Linked DNA regions of Neurospora crassa OR74A. The protein of the gene in region 7 purifies or fractionates together with the protein of the main gene of each other region. This does not show direct contact. Links are inferred from orthologs where the notes say so. Each region holds a gene or a part of one and is shown on either strand. Other genes may lie near its edges. The genes, in order: NCU02675, NCU04273, NCU07011, NCU01249, NCU07041, NCU03808 and NCU02256.

What was found.
Region 1: the proteins of NCU02256 (region 7) and NCU02675 purify together in Saccharomyces cerevisiae (affinity purification with mass spectrometry; 3 studies listed by BioGRID). This does not show direct contact. The link is inferred for Neurospora crassa OR74A from reciprocal best matches to the Saccharomyces cerevisiae genes RRP6 and RCL1.
Region 2: the proteins of NCU02256 (region 7) and NCU04273 purify together in Saccharomyces cerevisiae (affinity purification with mass spectrometry; 3 studies listed by BioGRID). This does not show direct contact. The link is inferred for Neurospora crassa OR74A from reciprocal best matches to the Saccharomyces cerevisiae genes RRP6 and NOP13.
Region 3: the proteins of NCU02256 (region 7) and NCU07011 purify together in Saccharomyces cerevisiae (affinity purification with mass spectrometry; 3 studies listed by BioGRID). This does not show direct contact. The link is inferred for Neurospora crassa OR74A from reciprocal best matches to the Saccharomyces cerevisiae genes RRP6 and UTP21.
Region 4: the proteins of NCU02256 (region 7) and NCU01249 purify together in Saccharomyces cerevisiae (affinity purification with mass spectrometry; 8 studies listed by BioGRID, with this or other methods). This does not show direct contact. The link is inferred for Neurospora crassa OR74A from reciprocal best matches to the Saccharomyces cerevisiae genes RRP6 and SRP1.
Region 5: the proteins of NCU02256 (region 7) and NCU07041 purify together in Saccharomyces cerevisiae (affinity purification with mass spectrometry; 3 studies listed by BioGRID). This does not show direct contact. The link is inferred for Neurospora crassa OR74A from reciprocal best matches to the Saccharomyces cerevisiae genes RRP6 and KRR1.
Region 6: the proteins of NCU02256 (region 7) and NCU03808 purify together in Saccharomyces cerevisiae (affinity purification with mass spectrometry; 3 studies listed by BioGRID). This does not show direct contact. The link is inferred for Neurospora crassa OR74A from reciprocal best matches to the Saccharomyces cerevisiae genes RRP6 and ECM16.

What each region holds. Positions count from the first base shown.
Region 1 is NC_026501.1:3,164,222-3,167,997, forward strand, and holds NCU02675 (RNA-3'-phosphate cyclase), read left to right. Parts: upstream 1-1,494; 5' UTR 1,495-1,694; coding exon 1,695-2,915; 3' UTR 2,916-3,010; downstream 3,011-3,776. Other genes in the region: NCU02674 (hypothetical protein), read right to left, coding at 1-1,092; NCU02676 (hypothetical protein), read right to left, coding at 3,043-3,776. UniProt on the Saccharomyces cerevisiae protein: Does not have cyclase activity. Plays a role in 40S-ribosomal-subunit biogenesis in the early pre-rRNA processing steps at sites A0, A1 and A2 that are required for proper maturation of the 18S RNA. RCL1 activates BMS1 by promoting GDP/GTP exchange.
Region 2 is NC_026505.1:5,456,933-5,460,945, forward strand, and holds NCU04273 (RNA-binding protein), read right to left. Parts: upstream 2,559-4,013; 5' UTR 2,375-2,558; coding exon 908-2,374; 3' UTR 690-907; downstream 1-689. Other genes in the region: NCU04272 (ZZ type zinc finger domain-containing protein, variant), read left to right, coding at 1-38.
Region 3 is NC_026504.1:4,898,227-4,902,799, forward strand, and holds the start of NCU07011 (WD repeat containing protein 36), read left to right. Parts: upstream 1-1,584; 5' UTR 1,585-1,648; coding exon 1,649-1,786; intron 1,787-1,848; coding exon 1,849-4,549; intron 4,550-4,573. UniProt on the Saccharomyces cerevisiae protein: Involved in nucleolar processing of pre-18S ribosomal RNA and ribosome assembly.
Region 4 is NC_026505.1:3,366,299-3,370,560, forward strand, and holds the start of NCU01249 (importin alpha subunit), read left to right. Parts: upstream 1-1,462; 5' UTR 1,463-1,808; coding exon 1,809-2,042; intron 2,043-2,306; coding exon 2,307-2,816; intron 2,817-2,867; coding exon 2,868-3,770; 3' UTR 3,771-4,262. Other genes in the region: NCU01248 (hypothetical protein), read right to left, coding at 1-485. UniProt on the Saccharomyces cerevisiae protein: Functions in nuclear protein import as an adapter protein for importin beta nuclear receptors. Binds specifically and directly to substrates containing either a simple or bipartite NLS motif. Promotes docking of import substrates to the nuclear envelope.
Region 5 is NC_026504.1:4,998,519-5,002,467, reverse strand, and holds NCU07041 (90S preribosome/SSU processome component KRR1), read right to left. Parts: upstream 2,549-3,949; 5' UTR 2,370-2,548; coding exon 2,115-2,369; intron 2,057-2,114; coding exon 1,707-2,056; intron 1,640-1,706; coding exon 1,282-1,639; 3' UTR 775-1,281; downstream 1-774. Other genes in the region: NCU07042 (alcohol dehydrogenase), read right to left, coding at 1-437, 569-627. UniProt on the Saccharomyces cerevisiae protein: Required for 40S ribosome biogenesis. Involved in nucleolar processing of pre-18S ribosomal RNA and ribosome assembly. Essential for vegetative growth.
Region 6 is NC_026505.1:2,474,058-2,478,421, forward strand, and holds the start of NCU03808 (pre-mRNA-splicing factor ATP-dependent RNA helicase PRP16), read left to right. Parts: upstream 1-1,507; 5' UTR 1,508-1,576; coding exon 1,577-4,364. Other genes in the region: NCU03807 (hypothetical protein), read right to left, coding at 599-889, 951-1,103. UniProt on the Saccharomyces cerevisiae protein: Probable ATP-binding RNA helicase. Required for 18S rRNA synthesis. May play a role in restructuring of the pre-rRNA.
Region 7 is NC_026507.1:3,162,877-3,167,366, reverse strand, and holds the start of NCU02256 (exosome complex exonuclease Rrp6), read left to right. Parts: upstream 1-1,655; 5' UTR 1,656-1,788; coding exon 1,789-2,366; intron 2,367-2,425; coding exon 2,426-2,759; intron 2,760-2,814; coding exon 2,815-4,371; 3' UTR 4,372-4,490. Other genes in the region: NCU17251 (hypothetical protein), read right to left, coding at 619-620, 676-769, 838-914, 976-1,013, 1,066-1,106. UniProt on the Saccharomyces cerevisiae protein: Nuclear-specific catalytic component of the RNA exosome complex which has 3'->5' exoribonuclease activity and participates in a multitude of cellular RNA processing and degradation events.

The DNA.
Region 1 (3,776 bases), on a different chromosome or scaffold from region 7:
GGGTATCATGATGCGCGGGTTAGGCGATTCTGAGGACTTGAGAAGAGTATCCGCAGCTCTCATCGCGCGGTCGGTATCTCCGTGGAGACTGCACATGCGTACTCCCAGCTCATAGTACCCTTTGAATGTTTCTGGTTTGGAGCCGATGGTGACCACGGCTTTCTTCCACGCTTCGATAGCCTCCTCTTGCCAGCCTTCGAGAAACATGGCCTCAATCGCAAGAAGCTGTTGCGAGTCTCTCAGCACCACCCCCGCAGCTTGCATGTCCTTCGCCAAAACGTAGATGTGATGCATCCGGTTCGGATTTTCTACGCCTTCCCCTTCGTGTGACAAAATCATCCACAGAAAATCCCACACCTCGCGCGGCACGTTGGTCCATTGGGTGGCTAATGAACTGCGTGCTGCAGAGTAGTACTTCCAGCAGTCGAACAGGTCTTTCGGCTTGGGGACGCCGCCCTTGACGACGCTGTCGCGCGCAAGGAAGGAGTTCAAGTTGGCTACGGCTCGCTGCCGCACTCCGCTGAAGCCTGGAATGCGCAGTACGCCGTATGACTCGCCTTCTGGACCCGTCTTGCCCTTGTATTTCTCCCTGAGAATCTTTTTGAACTGTTTTCGTAGCTCCTCAGCCTTGTCCTGTTCGGAACCCCCGACCTTCTCCAGGCTATCGAGCATTTGTATTGTCTGGACCATTTTCTGCTCCAAGTCGTTAATGGCCTCGGAAATCTCGCTATCGATGCCGCCACTAACGGCGCCAAACTCGGCACCGTCGCGCAGCTGTCGGTATTGCCCTTCGGTCTCTTCGTTGAAGTAGTTGACCGCAAGGGGTTCGGTTGGACCTTCGTCGGTGTCGGTGGGTTCTCCCTTCTGCGCCTCCCGTAGGAGGGCTTCTTGGAACCTCTGTGCTTGCTCTTCCTCCAGCTGCTTAGTCGTCGTTGGCGCACGTTGTCTGCGAGCGGCGCGGGCCGCACTCGAAGCGTTTCTCGTCAGCCATGGCTGTGGATTTGGGCGGGCTCGTCCTATGCTAGCGATGCATGACTGGCAAACATAGCTGCTTGTTCGACTCAATTCAAGCGCAAATGCTCGGGGAGGCATCGGTGGTTGTTTCGTGTGTCGGGTGGGCTATGGCAGTGTGCTGTAAAGAATGAAGAAAATCATGAGGAGCAATGAAAGAGTTGGAGATGTGGAAGCCAGGTAGAACTGCGGAGGTAGAAGGATTGTGGTGAACTGGAACTTGAAGGTGTGTTCGTCAACTTTTCGTGATGGCGAGAAGCCGGCAACACTTTGTCCTACAGCAGCACGTCCTGGAAGGAACAGCGGCCATCATCGCCCCACCATGCGCTTGCTGCCGCTGTGACTTTTTCTTATCACGCCCCTGCAGTTCCTTATCGACGCGCAGCTCCTGTCGAATAAGTCTTAGGTACCATTTCACCGCCCGGCAGAAACAGCGGGATCCTCCAAAAATTCTGGAGAAAAGCGAATTGGAACGGGGAGACCTGCAGCGCTCGCAAAGGAGCTTTCCAATTCAGAATCATTCGCCATTAAAACCGCGACATACCCATTCATCCATCACCGACGACCACTGCCCGACGAGTTGGGGCGCGATCGCCTACGAAGAATTCAAAAGACTAGGAAATTACACTTTCACACGACTGAGCCCAGGACAGCGTGAAACCAACGACCTGACAACCGCCACCATGTCGGGCGAGAAAACCGACTTCATTCGCTTTACGGGGCACCGCGCCTTCACGCACCGGATCGTTCTCTCGACCCTTACCGGCCGCCCAGTGCACATTTCCAAGATCCGCAGCAGCTCGGCCACACATCCAGGTCTTGCGCCCCACGAAGTCTCCTTCCTGCGCCTTATCGAGGCCATCACCAACGGCTCCGTCATCGATGTCTCGTATTCGGGCACCACCATTACATACCAGCCCGGTTTGATCACCGGCACGGTCGCGGGCGTCAACGCCGGCGCCGTTGGCGACGTAGTCGAGCACACCCTGCCCGCCAACAACACGCGCGGCATCACCTACTTCCTCCTCCCGCTTGCCCTACTCGCGCCCTTCTCCAAAGCCCACATGAACGTCCGCTTCACTGGCCCCGGCGTCATCACCTCGGCCACCCACCTGACCGGCGACATTTCGGTTGACTCCTTTCGCACGGCCGTGCTCCCGTTGTATGGAATGTTCGGCATCCCGCCAGCGCGCATCGAGCTGCGCGTGCTCTCGCGCTCTTGTTCCGGCCCCGGCGGCCGTGGCGGTGGCGGCGTGGTCGAGCTTCGCTTCGCCAGTCAGGTTCGCCTGCCCAAGACACTGCATCTGAATCGGCGCCCCGGCAGGATACGGCGGATTCGCGGCGTGGCGTATTGCACGGGCGTGTCGGCCAGCCACAACAACCGCATGATCACGGCGGCGCGCGGCGTGCTCAACCAGCTGGTCTCGGACGTGCACGTGGCCGCGCAGTACGACCCGGCGCCGCTGGTCGGCGACAAGAGTGGTGCCAAGAAGAAGATCGGTATCGGTTTTGGCCTCAGCTTGGTGGCGGAGTCGAGCGCGGACGGCGTGCTTTACTCGGCTGATGTGGTAGCGCCGCCCGAGGGTGGTGTCGTGCCCGAGGATATAGGCGCAAGGTGCGCGTACCAGCTGCTGGAGGTTATCGCACAGGGAGGTTGCGTCAGTAACGTATCGGCACCGACCTTGCTTACACTGATGGCAATGGGATCGGAGGATGTGGGTCGCCTCAGGTTAGGCAGGGAAGTATTGGCTAGGGAGGAGACAATAGGGCTAGCACGAGACTTGAAGAAATTCGGAGCGGCCAGCTGGGGCATAAGGGATGTCGACGATGACGGTGAGACGACTGATCTAGTAGTCTCGGTCAAGGGTACGGGCGTTGGTAATGTGGGAAGGAAGGTAGCGTAAAGAATTATAAACCGGATGCTTTCTTTTTTGTTGCATGTTCAAGCTCTGTTAGGTCATACTTTTGCTGTATCAAATTCGCTTTCGTGGGTCTCGGCACTAAGTATTAGTGTGTACAAATGCTTTTCCATCATATCCCCCGTCTGGCCGCTCTATTCGTAATCCCAGCAATTCCTCTAACTCCCCGGTTGCCAGCAACGGCGGCCGCATGGAAACCAATGCTTTGGACCGTGTAAGCCGCAGCCGTCTGGTAGTCATTCCCTACCGTACGTATGGCGTGTACCGGATGAAAGCTACCCACACTGGCATTGCCTGACCTCATCACGTCAAACAAGTCTATGCCGGCAGATGCTGGAGAATAGTTGGACCCCAGCCGCTGTTCATCATCCTGCCCCTGACCGCCACGGCTTTCTGCCACCAGGCGGTCTGTTTCGGTCCCTTCTCCATCGCCTAGAGCCATCTCATCTTCCCTATTCACGCCCCGTTCTTCCGCATCCAAAGTCTGGGAAGTCTCCGGCTGGCGCACGCCGTCGCTACCTGATGCCCCCGTCTGCTGTCCAACCTGACCGGGACCAGCCCAGAGAGGTTGTAAGGAGGGATTCACAACCTTGCGCAGCTTCTCCCGCTCCGTATGGATAGCCAACATCAAGCACTGGATAGCCAGTATCACCGCATCGAAGAACAAAGGACCTAGCCTCGTCGTTGGTGGCTTCTGCCCAACGAAGTCGACTATCACGCCCCCGTGTAGATACCCGCGCGTCGCTTCGCCGGCGACTGGTGGTGCAGAGATGATGTGTGCAAGGATGCATATCAAATTCGGTCCGAGGATGGCAAAGACATGGGGACGTTCGGCCGGTAGAAGGA
Region 2 (4,013 bases), on a different chromosome or scaffold from region 7:
CCTCGGATGAAGAGTCTGTTAGCGGCCCCAACAAGTAGTTTTGCTTTGCGAACATTGTATGTTGGGATCAGGAATTGTGACGAGAAACATGGATAACGGAGTGCTTGGACGGAATGTTTTGTTGGGTTGCTCGGGTCAATTGATGGGTGCTTTAAATTGCTAGTTTTTTTTTTGCTTTTGTCAACGTAAGCTCGTTGTTATGGAAATTTCCCCTCTCCTACTACTGTCTTCTGTTTAGTCTGTGCTTCATGTGATAAGTCCCAAAGAACAAGTGTCTAGAGAGAAATCAAGGGATTACCATAGTCGACGGCTCTGGCGTGAAGTGTACTCGGTGTCGTTGCTTTACACTACACTGCTGCGCATTGATCTCTTCTTCGGATGAAACTGGCAATTCACCACTTTATAATCTAGAGTAGACCTCACTTCTCTTGTAACTCGTTACGGCCACTCAGATTGTGCTCAATAGCTAGATTGTGTTAAAACAGATGTTCCGTCATGAAATTCTTGGTCCTTTTCGATCGCCGGCCGTAAACAACACGACCGTGCATACATATGGAGGCATGGATGTATTTTGAGTAATCTCCTTGGAGCGTCATGTTTTGCAGAGAGATGAAAGACTGTGTTAGCAAACCAGCAAGACAGAACGTAGAACACACTTGCGATCGTCACGATGTGCATATAGGTATGAGGTGAAGCGCAAATTCGATTCCTCTAGCCGTCTAAGCCCACACAACATGGAAACAAGATAGGTATATAAGACACAACCTTAAAACAAGACAACATTAAGTTACCACCGGACACACTGAACCGTGGCGACATGATTTTGAACCCATATTTTTTCTCTCTCTTCCGCCGAACCCAAGAAAAAAAAAAGCCCGGACCAGATAGACAGGACACTCGTCCTATTTTACTCAAAGGTAGTCTTCTTGCCCTGGTGAGCAACAGGCGCACCAGTAAGTCTGGCAACACTGATATCCTGAGCCATCTTGATTTGACCATTACCGCCTTCTTCCCTCTTCTTGTAAGGAACCCTCTGTGGCCTCTCACCACCGTCTTGTCCTTGCTTCTTGCCGCCCGCAGCGCCCTTGCCTCGGAACCGCTTGTCGTATCTCGTCTTGTCGTCCTCGGCCAACTCGATCTTGAGGGTGCGGCCATGTAGCTGGTTGACCCACCACTTGCGGGTCTTTATCCTCTTTTCCGTTTCCTTCTTTTCCTTTGTCTTTTCCGCGTCGGCGTTGTCACCGTCGGCTGCGGCTTCGGCTTCGGCTTTTTGGTCTTCATCCATAAAGTCCTCCAACTCGGGAATCTCCTCGCGGATCTTGACGAACCCCTTGACCGCCCACTGCGCGGCTTCGCCCTCCTCAAAGTTCACCCACCCGTACCCCTTGCACTTGCCGCTGTCCTCGAACGTGGCCACCTTGACCCACCGGATGGCGCCGCACTTGTCAAAGTGGTTGCGCAAGTCGTCCTCGGTGGTGTCGAACGAGAGGTTGCCGACAAAGATCTTGGTTGAGCCGGCGAACTTGCCGCCTACTAGCGCCTCGTCCTTCTTTCCACCAGCAGCGCCCTTGGCATCCTCATCGTCTTCCTTCTTCTTCTCCGGCCGTCCCTCGAACGACGTCGCGTCCTTGATCAACAGCTTGCGCTTGTACCACTCGGTCTCGCTGAGAGCAATGGCGGCGACCTTGGTGGCCAGCGAATCAAAGTCGACGTAGGCGAAACCGCGGTTCTCGGGCTTCTCCTTCTTGGGCTGGCCGGGCTGCGCCTTGGCCGTGGGCATGTGCACGCGCGTGATGGACTCGGGCGTGATGGAGCCGCCGCTGTTGTCGACGAGCCATTGCTTCAGTTCGCTCTTGGTGACGGTGAAGCGCAGGTTGCCGATCCAGACGCCGTGGGGGGACCGTTCCTTCTTTTCCTTCTTCTTTTTCTTGTCCTTGTCGCCGTCCTTTCCGGTGGCGGTTTCGTTATCCGAGTTGTCGTCGGAGTCATCACCCTTGTCGGAGGAGGGCTTGGTAGGGAGGGTCTTGCCCTTCTTGAGCAGACGCTTGGCTTTCTTGGAGGGAGGCTCGGGGGCGGTGACGTCGATTTCGATTTCGGTGAGCTCGGCCTTGCGCTTCTTGGAAGATTTCTTGGGTTTCTCATCGGAGGAGGCGGCGGCGGCATCGGCATCGGCGGTGGTGTCCATGGTGTCGACAGTCTCGGCGGACTCGGCAGGCTCCTCTGTGGCCTTGCGCTTCTTGGAGGATTTATCCTTCTTCTCCTTCTTTTCTTTCTTAGACTTCTTCTCGGAAACGAAATCGGCGGTGGTGTCCATGGCGTCGACGGGAGCGGAGTCCTGCGCGGAGGCGGTTTCGAGGTCTTTTGTTGCTGCCATTCTGGCTGGCTTTAGCGTATCGATCGAGATGGTGTCAATAGGCAAGGGAAGAAAAGTGTTGGAAATAGCAATAAAATCAAGGGTGTTGATTCCTCGAATTTGCAATGTCTACAGAAGGAGGACAGCCGCGCATGGACGCTGAGATTCCCCAATTGCTGGCAGCACAAGATTTTGGAAAATTTACTTTGCGATAAGCGAAGCGATAAGGAAGGGGTCACTGTTCCTCGCTCCAGTTGCGGGTCCGGAGCTTGGCTTGGTCGGGTCTCCATCGCGCAAAATGCGGGGGAGCGGGCGGGACCTACCTTTCAACCTCCACTTTCGGGTTCTCCACTCATACCCCTCTGAATCTCGTGCCAAATTTGCAAAGAGCCGCCATCTTTTCAGATCTCCCGCCGTCATTTCATGATGGGACTTGCCCTTTGCATGATTGCCCCCTTTTTAATGCGATGTCTATGGGCCCTATCTTATAGTGTCAAACGTGTCTTGCTCCGATGACAGGTCTTGAAGTGCAGCCGTACTTGGGTCGGCAAGGTAGGTACGAGACCAGCGTGCAGAATTTCGGTACTCATCAACTGGAGTATGGTACAGTACACGTACTTTTGTACATTGGTCACAAATGGATGGAATATTTCCCCGACAATGACAGCCCACAGCACCACGCAATGGGCCAAATGTAGCCACGAGCACAAGTCGATGATGCCAATATGCTGACTTGGCCCCTCTTCCACTTGATCAATGCCAGGATGTCCCTTGCCATGAATAATAGCTCACGGTGTAGAGTACCTGTAGTAGACACGTCTGCCAAACTCATCTATATTGAGCAGAGTACTTGTTGGGTTCTTGAAAGACGGTTGGACATATTACTTTGCAGGGAGTCTCTTAAGTCCACATAGCAACCCTGAGCTATACAAAGCTGGACAGTCACTTCCGATGGGAAGCAGAAGCCCCATTCAACTCCAGGTCAGTCACTCCCAATGAAAGGGTATCAGATCCTTCGGAAGTTGTTCCAGAGTGATGGCCATTAAAGTCCCGCAGAATCGAAACGGAAACGACATGAGCGTGTTGCTGACGTTGCTCGAATCAACCCCCCGAAGCTTTGATCTGGATCGAGCGAATCGTCAAGGGAGCTGATCGGGTGGGCAGGTGGGCCACGCGGCCTCAATGTCGGTCCATCATCTCGCCAAGCGCAAGGGCCAGGAACAGAGGCAGCGTTGGCAAACGCCTGTCTAAAACACCCACTGCAGGCCGAGAGGATGCGGAAAAGCCAACAATGGGTTTTCCAAGGTCCTTGGTGCTGGCCGTACCGTGGTTGGTAGCGCTGTACACTGCATACCGTTGACGGCCTGTCGCGGTCGCTTCAACAAAGTCTCATCGTTTTGCGTTTGATGACCGGAAAAGTGGAGGTAATTGGTACCCGAAACCATCTTTTTGGGGCCTCACGTGCCGAGAACCACCGATAGGGCTTGGCGAGATCTGGCGGCCTTGAAAAGAAGAAAAAAAAAAGACCGACAAAAGGTCCTCAAAGACTCCACCGGTCCACGTCGTACGTGTACACTACTTTTTTCCTCGGAAATGTCCTCAGAAGGACACAATTCATTGGCAGCTAGTCTGAACAGACTCTGGAGCTTCTCTCTTACCA
Region 3 (4,573 bases), on a different chromosome or scaffold from region 7:
GGACAGCTCCTCAAAGCAAATAAAGGATAAAAGAAAAAGGAAAGAAGATAGAGGTTAGAGCGATTGGGCCCCAATGGCTTTCAAGGTCCCAACTGAACTAAGCAATTGATAACCGCAAGTGTTTCGACGACGGGAGATGGGGATGTCAATCTGTCTTTGATCCTTTTCTTCTTCCCTTTTCCCCCTCCCTCTAGCTCCAGATGGATGTTTCAGTTGTCATCCAAGCACAGCTCATAAGAACAACATGTAATCATCAAGAAAGCCATTGGTACACAACTGGACAAAGGTGGATAGCTTTGTGGCGACACGAGCAGAGACAACAGCTAGGTAGGTAGCCCAAGTTGGGATGATGCCCAAGCGTTGTTTGCGCGGGGAGGGAGAAAGGAAAAAAAAAAAAAAAAAAAAAAAAAAAAAAAAAAAAAAAAAAAGAAAGAAAGCAAGAGGGAAAGGCGGCATGTGGGCAATTTCCATAAACGGACCCGGTAGTACCTACTAGTCCCAATTCTGAACGTCTACGTGTAAGTGCATCTGGATCCCACCATTAGTTCATTCCCTTACACCGGAGTTTTGGTAGCTCATGGCAGAAAGGCTGGCACTTTCTCGGGTACTACATGGCCATCAACCGAATGAATGGTCGTTAGAATACACTTTTCATGCTACCTTTGGAAACTAGACTAACTCTCAGGCAATTTTGCATGGAGAAATTCCCAGGTAACTCTGGCTGATGTCTTTTCGACTTTTTTTTTTACCATCCCTCTCGAAATTCTGTGATGGCCTTTCCTGACTAAAGCGAGCCGTGTTGGACTGTCTAATTCGGTTATATTTACAGCCACTTCGTCGTCATAACTGGAGGTCCAGTCTCTTTCGTCATTGGCGTGCTTGGATAGACACAGGAAAAAAAAAACCTCTCTAGTGATCGACAATGATGGACACCAAAGAGCCCATTGCGCGTTGACTACTGGTACCAGAAGGTGGGTGTCATGCCAAACTAAACCCTTGCTGGCGCCCTATGATATACTGCGATAGCCGCAGAGAAAATCCAGAAGAACGCTGAAGGTGGGTGTCATTGCGAACCGTATGCCGTGGTACCTCTATGGGTGGACGACCTGAGGTGGGTTCGATGGACGGGATGATGACGCCGCAGGCAACCTAGCATTTCGACGCTGAAGCGGACAGGGGATGGTGATGCTGTGCTGTGCTGTGCTGTGCTGTGTTTCACAAGCAAGAGCTTTTTCGCCCAGTTGGCGGGGCAGATGGAGGTGTGGGGTTTACTGCAGTTTGGAACACAGTCTCGACTTCTGCGATGATGGGAAACGGTAATCCCGGTAACTGAAAGGCTGCAAAATGCGGCCGGGATCGCAGGAGGTTCCTACTATGCAGTACACAGATACACAGTGCTGGATTTAAGCTCTGTGGGTCCTAGCCAGACGGTGGTCCCACATGCGTCCAGCTTTCATGCTACCCCACATGGCGAGGCAGACCAATCACATGAAGCTCCCACTTGCCTGCCCCAACCGACCCCAAACTGTGGCTGAAAATTTCTGGTCCACCGCGACAAGGCTACTATTATCGAAATCTTCAAACTGCGACTTTCAACAAGGCTTTGCAACTGAAAGGCATTCGCAGACATCGTGGTAGTTGGCAGCATATGCCACTCGACGACATGATGCCGCATTCCGATCGCGAAATCACATCCGCCAAGCGGCAGAAGCTCAATGCCTCTGTCGTCAAGTCCAAGGCGCCTCAGAAGAAGAAGAAGGGTTCCTCCATCTTTGCTCCCTTCAGAGTACGTCCCTAATAGCCGGTCGCATGAAGTCCTCAAACTAACACCAAACTCACCACTCATAGACTGTAGGCTTGGTATCTCCAACAAGCGTCCCCTTTACCTCCATCCCTCTCGGCAAGACCACCTTCCAGATCACTACCTCGGTCGGCCGCTCCCTCCAGACCTATGACCTAAAGAGAGGTCTCAATCTCGTCTTCGTTACCCGCCCCCAGACTCCCGCCGACATTACCGCCACATATGCTTGGAAGGAAAAGGTATTCGCCGCTTGGGGTAACCCTCAAAATGGCGAGGCCCAAGGTATCTGGGTTTATCAGCGCGGAAAGAAGGTAGCCGAGCTTGAGCTGCCCGCCGACCTCAACCAGCCCATCAAGCAGATCCTCATCTTCGGTTCCTGGATTGTTGCATGCGCCCAAACCCGCCTCGAAGTATGGAAGTCGGCCACCCTCGAACACTACACGACCATCTTTTCCGTTGCCGCAAAGAAGGGCGACAACGAGCTCACTGGTGGCGTAGTCAACATGCCTACCTTCCTCAACAAGATCTTGGTCGGTCGCAAGGACGGTTGGGTAGAGATCTGGAACGTCAGCACCGGCAAGCTCATCTACACCATCCTTCCGCCCTCTCCCGACGCTGGATCTGTCACCTGTATGGAGCCTACCCCGGCACTTTCGCTTCTCGCCATCGCCTACTCGAACGGCCCTCTCGTCATCCACAACGTCCTTACCGACAAGGCCTCCCTCAAGTTGATGGCCGGATCCGAACACGCCCCCGTTACAAGCATCTCCTTCCGAACCGACGGTCAGGGTGCTGGTCAAGATGGTACAAAAGATGGCGTCATGGCTACCGCCACAAGCATTGGTGGAGATGTCACATTCTGGGATCTCAACAAGGGCGGCAGAGTGATGGGTGTACTCCGGAGCGCCCATAATCCCCCATCACACACCGACAAGACTGTGCGCGGAGGCATCAGCAAGGTTGAGTTCCTCCCAGGACAGCCCGTTATCATGACCAGTGGTTTGGACAACTCGCTCAAGTCCTGGATCTTCGACGAATCGCCCTTCTCGCCCGTCCCCCGTATCCTTCACATGCGCAGCGGCCATGCCGCCCCCGTCAACTGCCTGCAATTCTTGCCAACCGATTTCGATGGCGCCGAGGCCGGCAACAAGTGGCTTCTCAGTGGTGGCAAGGACAGGAGTCTGTGGGGCTGGAGTTTGCGCCGCGATGGCCAGAGCTCTGAGCTCAGTCAGGGTGCTCTTCGCAAAAAGGCCAAGAAGGTGGGTATTCTTGCTAATACCGCCCTCGGCGGCCACGGCCCGACTACATCTTTGGACGACCTCAAGGCTCCCGAAATCACATGCATCGCCTCCTCGCTCAACCGCGATGGCGGCATGGGCGCTATGCCCGGTAGGCAGGTCATCTGGGACAAGGGCAATGACAAGAGCAAGCCGACCAAGTCCGAGCTCGCTGCTATGACCGGCTGGGAAAGCGTAGTAACAGCTCATAAGAACGACCCCTGGGCTCGCACCTGGTTCTGGGGCCGCAAGCGTGCTGGTAGGTGGGCGTTCAAGACCGGAGATGGCGAAAATGTTTCTACCGTGGCTATCAGCCCTTGCGGCAGTTTCGCTCTTGTTGGCTCCGTTGGTGGTAGCTTAGACATGTTCAACCTCCAATCCGGCCGTCACAAGCAACGCTTCCCCTCCCGACTCACTCCCGCCCAGATGCGCCAGTTGAAGATGCAGCAACTTAAGGCTCTCGACAAGGTGAGCCAGCTCGAGAAGCGCGCCTCCTCCAAGACCTCCTTTGCCCCCGGCTCGGGCAAGCACACCAAGTCCGTAACCGGCATCGTGGTCGACCCGCTAAACCGCTTCGTGATTTCCTGCTCTCTCGACGGCACCGTCAAGTTCTGGGACTTTGTCACGGGCAACCTAGTCGACGAGATTGACTGGGCGCCCATGGTGCAGATCACGGGCTGTCGCTACCACGCCGGCAACGATCTCATCGCTTTCGCGTGCGACGACAATTCGATCCGCGTTGTCGACATCGAGACCAAGCAGACCATCAGAGAGTTCTGGGGCTGCCGCGACACCATTAACGACTTCACCTTCTCCAACGACGGCCGGTGGATCGTGGCCGCCTCGCAGGACCGCGTCGTCCGCGTCTGGGACCTGCCGACGGCTCACCTCATCGACGCCTTCCGGCTCGAGAAACCCTGCACCGCCATCGCCTTTTCCAACACGGGCGAATACCTCGCCGGCGCCACCGAGGGCGAGCTGGGCGTGCACATCTGGACCAACAGAACGCTGTTCAGACACGTGCCGACCAGACAAATATCCGAGAAAGACATTGCCGAAATCTCGGCCGGACCTACCAGCTCAGGCGAGGGCGGTCAAGGTCTCATCGAGGCGGCCTTTGAGGATGAACAGGAGGACGAAGAAGATGAGGGCGTGTCTGCGCCGGTCCTCGATCAGCTCAGCGCCGACATGGTGACGCTCAGTCTGGTGCCCAAAAGCAGGTGGCAGACGCTGCTGCACATTGACCTGATCAAGCAGCGCAACAAGCCCAAGGAGCCGCCCAAGGCGCCTGAGAAGGCGCCCTTCTTTTTGCCTTCGCTCCGGGATGGGACGACGAACCCACTGCTGTTGACGGAGGGCGAAAAGAAGGATGAGGAGGAGAGCCGAATTTCGAAATTGACGCAACTCGAGACGACAAGGACGTATCAGACGTTTACGGCAAAGTTGTTGGAGGGTGCCGAGACGGGTGATTGTAAGGTTTTTTTTTTTTTTTTTT
Region 4 (4,262 bases), on a different chromosome or scaffold from region 7:
TGGTGGTGTTCCTCCTTCAACAGCTTGTGGCTTTCACCTTGCTTTGGGGGCAAGAGTGCTACCTGTGCTGAAGCGGGATAGACGGGTATTGTCGCTGCCTTGTAAACGCAAACGGTGGTGATCTTGCTGGTGATGAGAGACTTTGGGTTGGACTTGAACCTCTGAACTTTTGCGCTTAGAACAACAAGCACGTCTCCGGCGCCGACTTCGGGCATCCGTGCCTCGGGGCGGAAGATGACGAGCTCAACTCCGGCCGATTCATCTTCAATGGACAGGTCAGATATGGTCAGGGTGCACTTCCAGTCCGATCCGTGTGTCGCGACGGGTGCTCGGCAGTCCTTAAGAACACCAATGACATTGACCATGGACCCGGGCTGGGCATCACCGTCATCGTCGAGAATGGCTCGTAGGGGTGTGAGCGTTGACGGAAAAAGTGGTGGCTTTGCCTTGGCCGCCGGTTTCCTGTCTCTGAGCGGGCGCATCATCTGGATATCCCAACTCTCCGTTCCGATTACATGGCGGCGGATGAGTATGTGGATGAAACACCACCAGCGGTTGGTCGTGATACTTACCAACCGTTGTAGGGCAACTTGGGGACTTCAGTGTTATACGTCGTACATTACGCGTTCACTTTACGCGTCTTGAAAGCGGAAATGGCACCTGCCCAATCGCCAAGTTTGCGCGACCGCATGTGCAGGGCAAGGGTCTTGGCCGCCCGTCGGGCCAGACCATCAGACTTGAAGCGCTGTGCTTTCAGCAAGCCTTGCAGGGCTACGGTAATGGTTAGACGCATGGTCTGTGCTTTCTCTTACCTACCCAGTATAGTCATGAGGGGTCGGGGACTCCCGAACAGGACCTTGCAGGCCAGCCTCCCAACACAACCTAAAGCCTGGAGGTAGCAAAGACGTATCTACCTAGCTCAGACGGTGGGAGGTTGAGAGCGGCCTTTTGACGTCGTTCTTTCAAGTAACTGAAACATGTCGTAGTCATTCAGGGAAACGAAAAGCTTGCGGCTCGACGGACGCGGCCTGAGGTCGATGAAGTTATGACGGGCAGTGTGTAACCTGCAAACAATCCATGACGTTCACAAGCAAAATGGAAGGAATGAGAAGAATGCCTGGAGGGTCCAGCCGCTCTGAGGTGGGGCCACCCAATGGTGGACAAGTTCCTGCACTCCAAGAACAGCGGACAAGTTACAAAGCTGCTCATGTGGCCTGTGCTCGAGCTTGGCTCTTCCATCCCCACTTTCAGAAGCCAAACTCTTTTCGCTACAGTTGGTGCCAGCATTGGGCGCTGTGGGCAGTGACTGGGCCACCTTCAGGCCTGAGGGGCAGCTGTGACTGAGTGGCAGGCAGGGCACAGTGACTGCCTGCACTTGGACTTCACTTTCGTGGAGGTGGAAAGTGCTGGTAGAGGAGGGGACAAGCCGCCGCCGCATTCTTGTTTCCGCTTTCTGCTCGAGGCGCGGGCGAACTCCCAAATTCTTTCATCGTCGCTCCTCAAAAAACACACAACTCGCCTGCCCCATCCATCCCCAAAACCCAATCCTTCTCTGACGTTTTCCGTCTCGCCGACAACGCACCCATACTTTTCTCCGTCCCATTCAGGATTGCTTTGGCAGGACCGTATCAACCGGGCTCTTCCAATTCTCCGGCTTTTCTTGATCGCATATACCTCCCTTTGAACGGCTCGCAGCAACTTCGTCGCCGGGGCTTCATCGATTGCATCGCCCCTCGTTTGCCGCCTTCATATCACACCTCCATCACCCATCCGTCTAGACACCGTCGTCTCGACATCGCGTCGCAACCATGGCTGACCGATACATTCCCGAGCATCGTCGCACCCAGTTCAAGGCCAAGAGTGCTTTCAAGCCCGATGAGCTTCGTCGCCGTCGTGAGGAACAGCAGGTCGAAATTCGCAAGGCGAAGCGCGAGGAGAACTTGGCCAAGAGGCGCGGTATTGGTGCTGGCGACTCGCGGCCTGGAGCTTCCCTTGGTGCCGCCCCCGACAGTGACGATGAGAACCCTCCCACCGAGTCTCAGGTATGCAAACCTCTATCTTACTCCCCTTACATGATCGGCCACAATTTTGCTACTGCGTCCGTCCATCGCCTCTCCCTTCTCTCCCCCACGTGTACCCCGCCGATGATGGTGATGCTTGAGCCACAAACCCCCAGGCAGTGCCGAACCTGCATTCAAGCTGCGCGCGCAAACTCGAACATTGTACAAACGAAAACCACCCCACATTCCGTCACGTCCCCGATCTTTGTTATAGTTGATCTCCACATGCTAACCCAGTTGTCATAGTTGAGCGAGGACCTTCCCAAGATGGTCGAGGGTGTCTTCTCCAGTGAGATCGATAAGCAAATTCAGGCGACCACTAAGTTCAGAAAGCTGCTCAGCAAGGAGCGCAACCCTCCCATTGAGGAGGTTATCAAGACCGGCGTCGTTGGTCGCTTCGTCGAGTTCCTCCGCTCCCCCCACACCCTGGTCCAGTTCGAGGCCGCTTGGGCCCTTACCAACATTGCTTCGGGCTCTGCCACTCAAACCCAGGTTGTCATCGAAGCTGGTGCTGTTCCCATCTTCGTCGAGCTTCTCGGAAGCCCCGAGCCTGATGTGCGTGAACAGGCTGTTTGGGCTCTCGGCAATATTGCTGGCGATAGCCCTCAATGCCGTGATTACGTTCTAAGCTGCGGTGCTCTGCGTCCTTTGTTGACCCTCCTTGGTGATAGCCGCAAACTTAGCATGCTCAGGAATGCTACCTGGACTCTTAGTAACTTCTGCCGTGGCAAGACTCCTCAGCCCGACTGGAACACGGTTAGTTCTCTCGATCACGAACAATCTAGTATGTCTACTGATCCATCATAGATCGCCCCTGCTTTGCCAGTTCTCGCCAAGCTCGTCTACTCGCTCGACGACGAGGTTCTTATTGACGCTTGCTGGGCCATCTCCTACCTCTCGGATGGATCCAACGACAAAATCCAGGCGGTTATTGAGGCTGGCATTCCCAGGCGTCTTGTTGAGCTCCTCATGCATGCTTCCACCTCTGTCCAGACGCCCGCGCTTCGATCCGTTGGCAACATTGTGACGGGAGACGATGTTCAGACCCAGGTTATCATTAACTGCGGTGCCCTTCCCTGCCTCCTGTCGCTTCTGAGCTCCAACAAGGATGGCATCCGCAAGGAGGCTTGCTGGACCATCAGCAACATTACTGCTGGAAACTCGGCTCAGATCCAATCTGTCATTGACGCCAACATCATCCCTCCTTTGATCCACCTTCTCTCCCATGCCGACCTCAAGACTCGTAAGGAGGCCTGCTGGGCTATCAGCAACGCGACTTCGGGTGGTCTCCAGAAGCCCGATCAGATCAGATACTTGGTTGCTCAAGGCTGCATCAAGCCGCTCTGCGACCTTCTGGCTTGCCCTGACAACAAGATTATCCAGGTTGCCCTGGATGGTCTTGAGAATATTCTCAAGGTTGGCGAGCTCGACAAGAACGCCGCTGGCGATGGCCCTGACTCGATCAACCGTTATGCCCTATTTATCGAGGAATGCGGAGGAATGGAGAAGATTCACGACTGCCAGACGAACGCCAACGAGGAGATCTACATGAAGGCGTACAACATCATTGAAAAGTACTTCTCCGACGAGGACGAGGCCGGTGATGAGGCCATGGGCGCTCAGCAGCAGTTTGGATTCGGTGCTTCCGGTGGTGCCCAGCAGGGTGGCTTCAACTTCGGTGCTAACGGCACCGAGTCGATGGACATGTAAAATGCTGTACAATCCGTCTAGTTCTTTTTACGAAGGGGATGGTTGGGTTAAAGATTGGGATGAGGGGACCCAGATGTGATGTTGATCACGGCACCATCTGGGAAATCCTACCATAAACATCTTACCCCATCAGCCTTTCGGCTCCCCCATACGAGTTCATTCGCCCAAACACAAGTCACAACACGGCAGAACTATATTGCTTCAATCTCATAGTGCCCCCTCACGCTTATTCACCACACCATACCCCTTGAATTGGCGTTATCAAAGTTATGTTTAAAAGAGAAAGGCGAGGATAAGTAGACGCACATGGAGGCCGATTGGTCCTTTGGTGCGAAAGCTCGAACCTGATGAGGACACGATGATGCGTTTTATGATGAAGGGAGAGTAAATCAAAGGGTCTGAATGGTAGCTTGAAAGCTCCAACCCTATAGCCATGTTCGGACGCGCAGTGATCAAGCCAAGGAGAAGGGAGCGGGAGCCTCGGGGCCGATG
Region 5 (3,949 bases), on a different chromosome or scaffold from region 7:
ACGCCCTCCACCCCGTTAGTCCAACGAGCGGGAGGGCTGCGCCCTCAGCAGCGCTCAGATGCTCTGGCGCGGGTACTGCCTCCGCCTCGGGAACAACAATGTACTCCTGCCCCGTGCCGGCGTCGGTCAACTGAGATGAGCCAATGACCGTCCAGGGCTGGTTGGGGTCGTCGGGCCCGTCGGGGGAGGAAATCCATCCGCGGCTGGGGGTGATGAGGACGGGTTTGCCGACGAGCTGGGAAGCGGCAGGGGAGACGGAAGGGCCAGTGGACTCGACGACGCCGTAGCCGTCAGCGAGAAAAGGTTGCTCGAAGGAGATGCCGGGGTAGAGGTGTTGGCGGATGAAGAGGTCGCGGTGGTTGAGGGCGCAGGACCGGAGGCGGATGAGAAGCTCGCCGGGGCCGGGGGTTGGTTTGGGGATGGTGTTTAGTTGGAGGCTAGATGGGGAGGCCGAGGGTTAGTCATGCGGGGAGGATGGTGGGAGTGAGTTGGTTGGTGGTGGTGATGGGGATATGTATGGGGGAGAAGAAAGGTGAGGTTATGTGAAGAGGAAGAACAAAACACTTACGGGTAGTAAACCTGGCCGGGTTTACCGTCAATTTTCTTGACAGTGAGTTGGAGAGGCATCTTGGCGTTGTGTTTATGTGTGGGTTGTGTTTTACCGAGGCCAATCCACTGGATGAGTGTTGAAGTATGTTCAAGAAGTGAAAGAAGGAAAGGGTCATCAAGTTTAAATCAGTTGCGACATCGGCCAGATTTGTTATCAATTGGACCCGGGGAAAGGGGTGTTGTCACTCTGTCATTGAGCCTCTCCCACCAACCCTGCCACCGACCAATGGCCGCCCCCACTCTCCCCCGCATTCGTTGCCGGATCCCGCTCCAATGATGCAACTGCCTCGGCCCGCCTTGTGATGCCCCTGGTTTGCGATCCGCCGGGGTGGAGCAGCCCGGTTGTGGTGCGGGTCTGCCACATCGGGCTTTATTCGCGATCGTCATCGGGTTTTGTTTCGGCCTTGGGTTTCGAAATGTCGACAGATTCAAGAACCGACATCTTTTCTGGACAAGTCATTGTTTTTGATAACACATTTGACAAAGGCTTTTGGTGAAATTTAGCAACCAGATCACCCTTGGATCCCGAAGCAGGAGAAATCTCAATCGTCTGCTGAAGTATGGGTATCATGGGATTCCAGGATCCTTTCTCTTTCTCTTCATCATCGTCTTCCTCAACTCCATTTCCACCTCCACCGCCCCCATATTTTGGATTGCACCACTTGTACCAGCTTAGTCGCTCGTCTTCCTCTTCTTGGCCTTCTTGTCCGTCAACTCCTCGGGCGGCACATACTCCTTCTCGCGCTCGCGCTTCTTCTCCTCCTTCTTCTGCTTGGCCTTCTCTGCGCGCTCCTGCTCCGCCACCCGCTGCTTGGCCTCCTTGCCGAGAAAGTATTCGCCGGACTCGATCTGGAGATCCACCTTGCTCTTCTCGGGCGCAGGGGGGAAGGGTGTATAGTTCTTCTTGGTCTTGTCGTTGACGACGTGGGGGACGCGGCGCTTGGAAAGCGTGCGCTTCTTGAAGTTGGGGAGGTAACGAGACCAGTCTTCGTGGGCAAGAGCGGGGTCCTTTGCGAGTTCGCGTTTGATCCTGTTTTCTCATGTCAGTTATTGTTGTTGTGGGGCGTCGCAAGTGGGCGTGCAGGCGCAAAACTTACATCAACTCCTTAATCATGTAAATTGGGTGAACGTTGTTCATGGTGTCCTCAACAACCCTCCTCACCTCCTTCAGACCCTTGAAAGGACCCATTACCGACACTGTGTTTCCGTGCACGAGGATATATGTTTGTGTGAGAAGCTCGAGAGCCTTGAGCGTTGTGCCGTTCTGTCCGAGAATTCTTTGGCGCCTCTTAACAAAACGCTCCTTGTTCCGTACCATGCTGCGGATCTTGATGATGTCGCAGGCCATGCCATCTTCGAGAATTTTGATCGCTTGTGGGGCTGGTACTGAACGGGCGAGCAACTTGATGAGATCGCGGGCGTTAAGAATAGCTGCGGGGTCATATGTCTGGACGTGAGTTAGCAAAGAGTGGTGACTATAAAGACAACAAACGCATCCGCCGTACCTTTCTTGTCGTCTTCACTGTCATGGAACCCTCCACCAAATCGAGAACTGCGGTGATGCCGTGCTTGTCGAGGGCCTTGGTGATGAGTGGCCACGAGTCTCGTAGATAACGCTCGCGGTACTTGGGGAATAGGGTCATAAACGAAGACTCCTCGAGGAAGGGGCCGGAGGATTCGTCCTTGGTGAAAGGGTCGACCTTCCACTTGTCGATGTCGTCTGTATCCCACGGCTTCTCCTTCTTGTGTGTGGACGGCATTTTGGCTGTAAATGTGTTTCTCGGGGCTCTTGTGGGCTGTTGATGTTTATGAATAATCAGAGGTCTCGATTGAGGTTGTGCGACAGGTCACGATATCAGGGCGAGCGACTTGGGTCTGGTGGTTGGATTTGATAAATGGCTTGTTGAAGGGATTGTATGGCAAGATGGCCAGCCGAATCGCGCTGCACGGATGGAAATTTTTGGAACACAAGCCTGCCGCAGCTGGTAAGAGTGGGGGCGCGGCGCTTCTTGCAGGTTGAGTTCCGGCTGCAGAAGCGCGACAGGATCAGCGGCCAGCTGGCAGATGCAGGGGCAGCTCCTTATCTGATAACTGGAACTTCCACTTGCATGGAAGTTGTAACTTTTGGAACCTGGTATTTTCATTGAGGACGACAACAGCATAAAAAAGGAGCAAATATAAGAAAACGACCGGATTCAGTTATTTCAAATCTCAGCGAGGTGGAAGTTTGGTTCTGTCATTACTGTCCTGCTGTACTTCGCAACGAGTCTATCCAAGTACTCTTGGCCATCTGCTCCTTTCAGCTGTTTTTTCCCCCCAGGTTGTAGATGTTATCTTATCTACATACTAGCTTATCATGACAGGGGCTTGCACGGCACGGCACGGAACATCAACAAGAAATCACACGTGCTGGCGACATCAAAAGGTCTTGATATGCCATGGTGGGATTGGCGACAAGAGCGTTTTGACTTGCTGGGGTCTCAACGTGATTTGTATACTCCCAGCAGGGCCATTGTTGACACCTGTACCGTCGGTAAAATCTCACCAAGGTGTTCAAGATACGCTGAAGTAATTGATGGTGAAGCATCGAATCCCGCCCGAGTCAAAGTTGACGAACTTAACAGCAGCAATTTTCAGGTTCGCCGTGATAAAGTCGCGGTAAGGCTGGATAACGTTCGTCGTTGGTTTTCCAGCTGAAGAACCAAGAAATCATCCCAGGTTCGCCCAATGAGAACCTGCAAAGATCTGACGACCCTGGCGCGCTGTGGTCATCATGATCGGGCAAGCACAATCTGCACTGTGGTACGCCACGGATTACAGCATTCCGTGCACGAGGTTTCGAAATCCATCAACGTTTTCCGTCAGAAAGGGGTAGGTTCGGTTTTGTGTCGCCAAGAATCAGAACTCCTTCCGTCCCTGCAACATCTTCCCCTTCTTTTTCTTCTTCGGCCCCGCGACATTCTACACTACTCCCTTCGATTTCCCCTTCGTATCCCTGGCGTCGGTCTTTATCCCGAACCCCAAGACCTTCAGGTATCGCTGCTTCTTGTGACCTTTGCCAAGATCGACGGCAATTGTCGTTGTCTATCCTTGAGAAGAAGAGAAAAGGAAAAGAAACAAATCGAATTCATCATAAGCACAGACGTCATTTCTGGGACGTTGACCTCGACCACCACACACCCGCACCTCCCTCCGCCTGCGCAGTCTCGATCCCGAAGTTGGCAATCCCGGTCACGGGCCCACGGTCTCGCTCGCATCCACCACGAGTGGGTCAATTGGCACCGACGCCGCCTTCAACCGCCGTGAAAGTCAAGCTGGCTTCGACTCGATCTCCGGGCCT
Region 6 (4,364 bases), on a different chromosome or scaffold from region 7:
TATTTTTTTTGGTGGGCACAAGTGGTGGTCCAAGCTCCGGGCTTGAGCCGCACCACGCACTCAAGCCACACCGTTCCTCTCGCTGCAATTGCTGTGTGCCAAGGCCAGCCTACCAGCTCGACAAGCCACATATTTCCGCTTCATCAAGCAGGGTTAGGGTCTATGGCTAAGCCTTGTCCCTCAGCTCGTCCACTTGAGCCCCTCTTGCCTTCAACATCATCCTATCATCCTATCATCCTGTTTGGATCCTTGCTCGAAATTGTCGATCTGCCTGGAGTCGCTTTTCGTTTGACACACATCTTTTGTGTTGCTGCAAGATCGGGCTCACTGCCCTCCATTGTTCTGTGTTCTACATCTCTAGGATTAAACTGGCCAGCAGCCCAGCCATCGTTCCCCTGTCTTCCCAGAACCTGCCTTAAGACAGACCAGCCCTCACTTACATCTTCTCAGCCGACCACATCCACCGAGTTGCGAACATGCTCATTCCCGATAACCACACATTTGGTTTCTACTCCCCGCTTCACCAGAACTGCTCATCGCGATAGCCTCAACTCGAACTTGTTACTGCGAGATATCGTTCACTCCATGACATTTACTATTAGAGGACTTGTTGTACCAACTCGACCACGTCATAGAAGGAGTCACTAGTAGTGGTGTCGACCTTCTCCAGGCCCAAACCAAGCAACAAAGACCGCTGCTCATTGGGGTTGCGCAAAGTCAGGAGACTGGCAATTTGACTGGCATAAAGCTGGCCCATGGTCTCCCTCTCCGCATTTCCACCTCCAAGAAGAGTCGTTGCTGTTAAATGTTCTGATGGTAACAGGCTACCGGCGCCAGGCAGAGCCATGTCTACTGACGCGGAAGAAGGTGCGGCTAGTTGTACTTGGACCTAGAACATGGTATGTTAGTAGACTGTAAGTGGGATGGCGTTCGGGCGCTCTTGAACCTACCCACTGAGCAAGGCGCCCACCTTGAGAAATGGTGACCATGATCTTGTCCGAGAAGTTCATTGATGAAACCTCAGTTTCCACTCCGTTGACAAGCCCAGTTGCCTGCCTGGAAGGTGACGGGAATGGCTCTTGCCTGACTGCGTCCTCAGACATGGTGAGTTCTGGATGTGGTGAAGTATGGACAGTTGCAAGACTCGAAAAACCGCGTGTGTTTCAAAGGATAAGACCGTAGGGGGATAACTTCGGCTTCTGTACTCCTGGTCGGATAGTACTCTCTGATGTCTCTACTGCGTTCATATTCAGAGTTTAGACGCGGGACTCCATCGTGATGTTTGTTGATGGAGCCGGAGTGGGCTGGGCTGCAGAGTTCAGGATGGACCCACGAAACATAGCAAACTGTACGCGCACTGTAGCTGGGTTACTTCAGTTGCTGTCCTGGACCCTCACAGGCCCCCAAAACGTGGGGTGCCACATTTAGCGCAGAAATTCTGCCAGGCGGACAAGATTTAATCTTCAAATCTTCAGGGTACTTGGTGACTTTCAGTTCGTTGCATTCTGCCGTCGCGACACCGGCCCTCATTTCTGCCGTCACTGCTCGCCTCGAGCACACCCGATAAAACAACAACATGGCTGTCATAGACGGGAAGTTCGTGCCGCGTCAGCGCAAGCGCAAGCAGCTTGATCGCCAGCGGTCGAGGAGTAAGGGAACACAAGACCCCGAAGACACCAACGTCCTCGAGATCGCTCCTGGACAGGAAACCACCACGGATGCCGAAAAGAAGAAGACCGAGCTACGGGAGGAATTGAGGCCTGCGGGTGTCAAGGTCAGCAGCAAGAAGGCCAAGAGACTCGAAAAGTACATCGACACAAAGCTCAAGAAGGACGAGAACCGCGAACTCCTGGCCAAGCTTGCCGCCAACAAGATCGACACCTCCCTATTCTCAAGCACAAAATCACTAGGCCAAACAAAATTGACCAAAAAGGAGGAGCTCAGCCGGCTTGTCAAGGAAGCAAAAGCTGGACTTATAACAGAGAAGGAGGCGGCCAAGAAACTTTACGAAAAGCGAGAGGTGAAGGAAGGTGCACCAGTACCAAAGCCTAAACCCACGGTCGACGAGGATTCAGAGGGCTCGGAAGATGAGCAGGACTCGGCAGCCGAGAAGCCAAGGAGCGCGCCAGCGGAAACAAGCGAGCCTACACCAGTACAAGCGACGACATCGTCAACAAGCCTGCCAGTACCTGTCGGTGCTGGTCTCAAGCGCCCCTTAGAGGTCGACGAGTCAGGACGCCCAATACTTGCCAAGAGACAAAAGAGAGGAGGTGTGAAAACGAAGCACAACTTTACATCATCGCAAGCTCCCGCAGTCATTCCTGTGCCGGAAGTGGTAGAATGGGACGGTTTCAGTTCGGAGGGCGAAGAGGGTTCAGACGATGAAGAGTCTGAGGGTAGTGGTTCAGGCAGCGAGGAAGAAGGCAGTGAAGAGGAGGAGGAGGAATCGGGAGAAGAGGATGGATCTGAAGAGAACGGAGAGGGTTCCGAAGATGATTCAGAAGACGATGATTCTGCGGAAGAATCCGACGAGGACATGGAGGACGCCGAGGAGGACAAGAAAGCAAAGTCTTCAGCCTTCAAGGCTTGGGCGCATCAGGCGAGGAACGAAGCTTTGGGTTACAAGCCTGCTGAATCAAGCATTCTCGAGATACCGAAACCTGCCAACTTTACGCCTCGGCCGATCGAACAAGAGCCTCTGCCTATCGAGCTGCAACCAACAAAGAACGATTCCCGCAAGGCTTTCGCCGTGGTAGTTACCAGGACACCCGAGATCCAGGAAACTCGTTTCAGGTTACCGGTTGTTGCAGAGGAACAGAAGATTATGGAGGCCATTCACGACAACGACATTGTCATCATTTGCGGTGCCACCGGTTCCGGCAAGACCACGCAGGTTCCCCAGTTCCTCTTCGAGTCCGGTTACGGTGTTCCGGATGGACCTACTCCTGGCATGATTGGTGTCACCCAGCCGAGACGTGTCGCTGCTGTCAGTATGTCGAAGCGTGTTGGCGAAGAAATGGGAGACTATTCACATGTGGTTTCCTACCAAATCAGATTCGAAGGCACCGTTGACTCCAAGACGGCCATCAAGTTCATGACGGATGGTGTCTTGCTTCGTGAGGCGGCCATCGATATTGCTCTTCGCAAGTACTCTGCCATCATCATTGATGAAGCCCACGAGAGAAGCGTCAATACCGATATCCTGATTGCGATGCTCAGCAGAGTGGTCAAGCTTAGGAGAGAGTTGGCGGAGGAAGACCCCACGATCAAGCCTCTCAAGCTGATCATCATGTCCGCCACCCTCAGGGTTGAGGAATTCACCCAAAACTCTAACTTGTTCCACACCACTCCTCGCATCATTGAGGTAGAAGGCCGTGAGCATGCTGTTACCATGCATTTTGCCAAAAAGACAAACCACGACTACGTTGATGAGGCATTCCGCAAGATTTGCAGGGGCCACAGGAAACTGCCCCCTGGTGGCATGCTTGTGTTCATGACCGGTCAGGGTGAAATTGCCCAGCTCAGCAAGCGGTTGAAGGCGCGTTTTGGTGGCGGTATGAACACCGCCAGCACCACCAAGGTGCGGATTTCTGCGAAGGAGGCACCCATGGAAGTCGAAGACATCGACTTTGGCGACGTTGAGGATGACCGTAACATCAACGACAGAGACGATGACGATATCTCCATTGCGTCGGACGAGGAGGAAGACAAGGAGTTCGAGATTGAGGACCAAGAATCTGGTACAGGGCCATTGAAGATGCATATCCTACCTCTCTTCTCTTTGCTCCCCACGAAAGAGCAGATGAAGGTGTTTGAGCCGCCCCCAGAGGGCCACCGTCTCGTCATCCTGGCTACCAACGTCGCTGAAACATCCTTGACAATTCCCGGCATCAAGTACGTTTTCGACACTGGAAGGTCGAAGGAGAGAAAGTTCGATCCTGTCAGTGGCGTCCAGAGTTTCGAGATTGGGTGGATCAGCAAGGCCAGCGCAAAGCAGCGTGCCGGTCGTGCCGGTCGTACCGGTCCGGGACACTGCTGGAGACTCTACTCCTCGGCCGTTTACGAAAGAGACTTCCCCGAGTTTTCAGAGCCCGAGTTGCTTCGCATGCCCATCGAGGGCGTTGTGCTCCAGCTCAAGTCCATGAACCTCCAGCATGTCGTCAACTTCCCCTTCCCCACGCCGCCACCGCGTGAGAGCTTGATCAAGGCCGAGAAGCTTTTGACCTACCTCAACGCCATCTCCCAAACTGGCCAAGTCACCCCCATCGGATCTACCATGTCCATCTTCCCGCTCTCTCCCCGCTTCGCTCGCATCCTTCTTATCGGACATCTCCACGACTGCCTTCCCTACACCGTTGCGCTCG
Region 7 (4,490 bases):
CGGGAAGCACAACGGGAAGCCGAAAACTTGTTGATTTGGGACGGGGACGGGGGAGCAGGGCGATCAGATGCGTTATGTGTCGTGTCGTGGTGGACAGACTCGGCTCAGACTCGCGCTGAAGTTTATCGAAGCAGTTTAGGCAGTATTACAGGGAGTGTGGAGCGTTCTAAGTTCTAGCGCCCAGAAGCCAGAGTCCCCGAGCGCAACCCGACCTGGCTGCGACTGCACGGCACTCTGTAATGAACCGATTGGATGTTGGGGAGGATCCACTTCTCAAGGACGGGAAACCTTATTTGGAAGGGGAACATTCAACCGACTTGAAGTCATCCATGGCTTCCGTCCATAACAGAGAGCACTGAAAACAACTCAACAGAAGATATAATCAGAAAGGTACAGTCAAAGACCAGCGGGTGACACTTTTGGTACATGGGCTTTGTTCAAGACATGGAGGGTGTGCATAATGGAAAGTCCTTCCACGAATACCAGGCGATATATGATATATACGGAGAAGAGATAATTGAGCAATGTAAGGAGAATAACTGGATTGTTGCGGCTTTGTTCAAGGAGTTGGTCGACGAGTGGTACAGTAAGGTACTCAGACGTCGTCCAGCTCTGGTATTCTGAGCAAGTCAGTCATCCTTTCAACTTTGGCCATGTTCGTAAGCTCAAACTCACATTTTTTCTTGCCCATGTATGTTGAGTCGCTGTCCTTGAGTTCTTCCCGCGCCTCTTCAAGCAGCTTGTCGATGCCACGCTCTTTCAAAGCAACCTGTAAAATGCCATATGGTAAGCTATCTCGATGCTAGAGTACGGGCGCTGTATGGTTTTGCGTCCTACCTGCAGGCAAGAGCTATACTCCTTGAAGAGAATTGAACATTCGTTATTTTGTTCGGTACCATTGCCCCTAAGGTATTCTGTCCAGTATAAGTATCACACATGTCCACTGAGTTGGGGTGTCTGTTCCTGTAGACTTACTCTCACTGTACCATTTGAGAAAGCAAGTGTCGTAACGTCTACAACTGGTTAAGATGTTGTTTTCTTTCCGTATGAAGGACAAAAACTTACTCCTTGGCCTCGTTGCATTCCTTGGCGAGTGACTGGGACATCTTTAAAGTCCAGAGCTATGTTTTCAACCGTAGGTGTTGCCAACAAAACGATAGGCTTGGTACGGTGTCCGATGACTTATGGGTATCGACGGTATATCTATGTTTTGGGCAAAAGATCGTATAGAAGGGTGTTCGTGAGATACTCCAGGTGAATATTTTTGGTGGAAAAGACGGTTGTACGGAATCTCAAATATCAACGTTCACCGGTGAGTCCGCTTGGAAACCAACAAGTACCAGGTGCTATTCAACAATGGGGTTGCGGACTTCCACTTCGTCACAGGACGGATCTCAAAAGCCTGGACGCCGATGGATGAACGAACGTTGGTGGTCCAGATCAGCACAATCTTGGCTCTTGGCAAGCGCCCCCTTGGCCTTATGTAATCGGCTGCCCAAAGTCTCTCTACTTTAGTGCTTCTACTTCCCAGCATGGGCCATCAGGTACCTCTACCAGCGCAGAGCGGGAACAGCTCACTCGAGGCCCACTTGATGGCATCCATCGGGCAGCTTCCACTTTTCGAGGTCCCGTTCACTTTGGCGCTTTCTCCACAAGCCACATGCTGGGACTGTCCGCAAAAAAAGTTCCCAAAGAGCAGCAGAACGACAAACCATTTTTGGAAAATTGAACCGGGCTTCCACTTCCAGTGACGTCCACACCACAACGACTCCAGAACCACCGGCCAATATGGACGGCTCACTGGACTTCAAGAGCTTGAGGGAATCGCTCCAAGCCGCCCTGGTCGCTACGACCCGAACCGCCAACTCAATCGCCAGCGAGGATCTTCAGTTCCAGCGCACCGTCAACCCGACTGTCGGTGGTCAACTCGACAACAGCTCCGGCCGCCTTCTGTCCCTGGCCAACGGGCTCCTCAAGTCGACCGCGAATCTTACCGGCCAGAAGGTTGGCGCTCTTGAAGATGCCGACGACGTGGACATCCAATGGCGGAACATTGTCGACGTGATCGACTCGTTGCTCGAGAAAGCCGACACCTGCCTCGACGAGTACACCGGATTGATCAAGCGGAAGGATGCGCCTACCCCCGCCGACCAGGGCCGCGCCCAAAAACGCGTCAAGTCGTCTAACGATCGTCTTGACTGGTCCTTGAAGAGAGCCAACATTCTCAAACCACAGAATAACTTCGAGAAGAAGGTCGATAACTTCGCTACCGGTCCTTGGAAGCCTCTGTTGTCGTCCAAGCCTCATGCCAAGGTGTCACTGGAAGACAGCCTGACCACCTTTGTCGATGATGACAACAACACACAGTACGTCTAACCTTTCTTTCCAATATCATAAGAGCATGTCGCTAACATGAATCTCCCAGATACAAACACCCCTACGAAACCGAGATCAAGACGACACCGTACCCTGAGCATGTGTACAAGAAGCGCGAACCCAAGGAGTACCTTCCTATCGATTCGACATCCGCCATCTGGGTTGATACTTATGAGGGCGTCTTGGAGATGTTGGAGGAGCTCAAGCAGGCCAAGGAAATTGCGCTTGATCTGGAGCACCACGATTTTAGGTCTTACACCGGACTGTTGTCTCTCATGCAGATCAGTACCAGAGAGAAGGATTGGGTCATTGATACTCTTCAACCTTGGAGGCACAAGCTTGAGGTTCTGAATGAGGTTTTTGCGAACCCCAACATTGTCAAGGTGAGACACATCCTGGCCTTCTGCTTTCACTGTATTATCGACTAACTTGACCCAGGTTCTTCACGGTGCTTTCATGGATGTCATCTGGCTGCAGAGAGATCTTGGTCTCTACGTTGTAGGTCTCTTCGACACATATCATGCTTGCGCCGTTCTCGGGTACCCTGGAAGGAGCTTGGGTTATTTGCTTAGCAAGTTTGCCGAGTTCGAAGCCGACAAAAAGTATCAGCTTGCGGACTGGCGCATCAGACCTCTCCCCGAGGAGATGTTTTACTATGCGCGGTCGGATACCCACTACCTGCTCTACATCTTCGACATGATCATCAACGAGCTCGTGGAGCGCTCAACACCCGGAAAGCCGAAGCCTGACCTTCTCGAGCAGGTCCTCGAGAGGTCCAAGGATGTCGCCCTGCAACGATACGAGAACCTTAGCTACAACGTCGAAACCGGCCAGGGACCCCGCGGGTGGTATAATGTGCTGTTGAAGTCCCCAACGCTCTACAACGGCGAGCAGTTTGCCGTCTACAAGGCCGTACATCAATGGCGTGACAACTTGGCTCGTCGTGAGGACGAGAGTCCCTTCTTCTTTATGACACAGCAGGTTCTGGCCGACATTGCCCGGATACTCCCGACCGACAAGAAGGCTCTGTGGAGTATTCTGGATAGCAACGCCAAGGGCCTCAAGTCTCATTTGGATGATCTATTCGACGTCATTCAAAAGGCTAGGGAGGAAGGTGTGAACGGTCCCAAGATGATGGATATCTTCAAGAGCGAGTCATCTATCCTCGCCCCCGCCAAGATTGCTGCGGTCATCGCCGACGATAGCGACATTCCGGACGTCAAGGAGCTCAAAGCTGACCGGTCACAATTTTGGGGCGGCGTCACTCTGAGCTCAGTCTGGGACGGCACGGCTGCGAAGACTGCCAAGCTTGACGACGTGTTGGAAATCACCCTTCCGTATCCGGCCGACTTCATGGACGGATCTACGGCTGAGATGGAGGTGGATCAACCAGAAGAGGCGGTGCCAGAGCCCCAGCCGGCGCCGGAAGAGGTGATAGTCAACCAGGAATTCACTCTTAGGAACGGAGGCAAGCGCAAGCGCGAGGAAGAGTCTGAGGAAGAAGAGGAGGCCTCAGATGCCGAAATGGAGGATTCCGCGCCTCAGACCGAAACCGACGTGCAAACCGGTGGTGAAGCCGAAGGTGACGACTCCGACGAGGAAGAAGAGGAGGAGGAGGAAGAGGCAAGCGACAAGTCATCCAAGAAATCCAAAAAGGCAGCCAGGAAAGCGGCCAAGGAGAAGAAGAAGCAGGCCAAGGAAGCTCTCAAGGCCCAGCGAAGGGCAGAGAAGGCCGCCAAGAAGGAAGCAAAGAAGAAGGCGCAGGAAGAAGCTGCTGCTGCCGCTAAGCAGGCGGAGGGCGAGGAGAAGGAAGATCAGCCGTTTGATTACTCTCAGGCTGCGTCGGTGTTGCGTGCTCGCAAGACTCAGGAGGACGTCAAGAAGGCGAATAAGAGGTTTAACCCGTATGAAAACAAGTCTCAGGGAGGACCCAAGGGCGCAAGAGCGCATTACACGGCCAAGGCGGCTGGCAGGACGGCTACCTTTAAGAAGTGAGGAGCCGGCGGATGAGGAAGATGGAGGGCAAATAGGATAGATTATGGAACGATCAGTGCTGTGTTGGCCATTGATGCCACTTATTTTTTTTACTTGGACTATTATTATCGCGGTGCGTT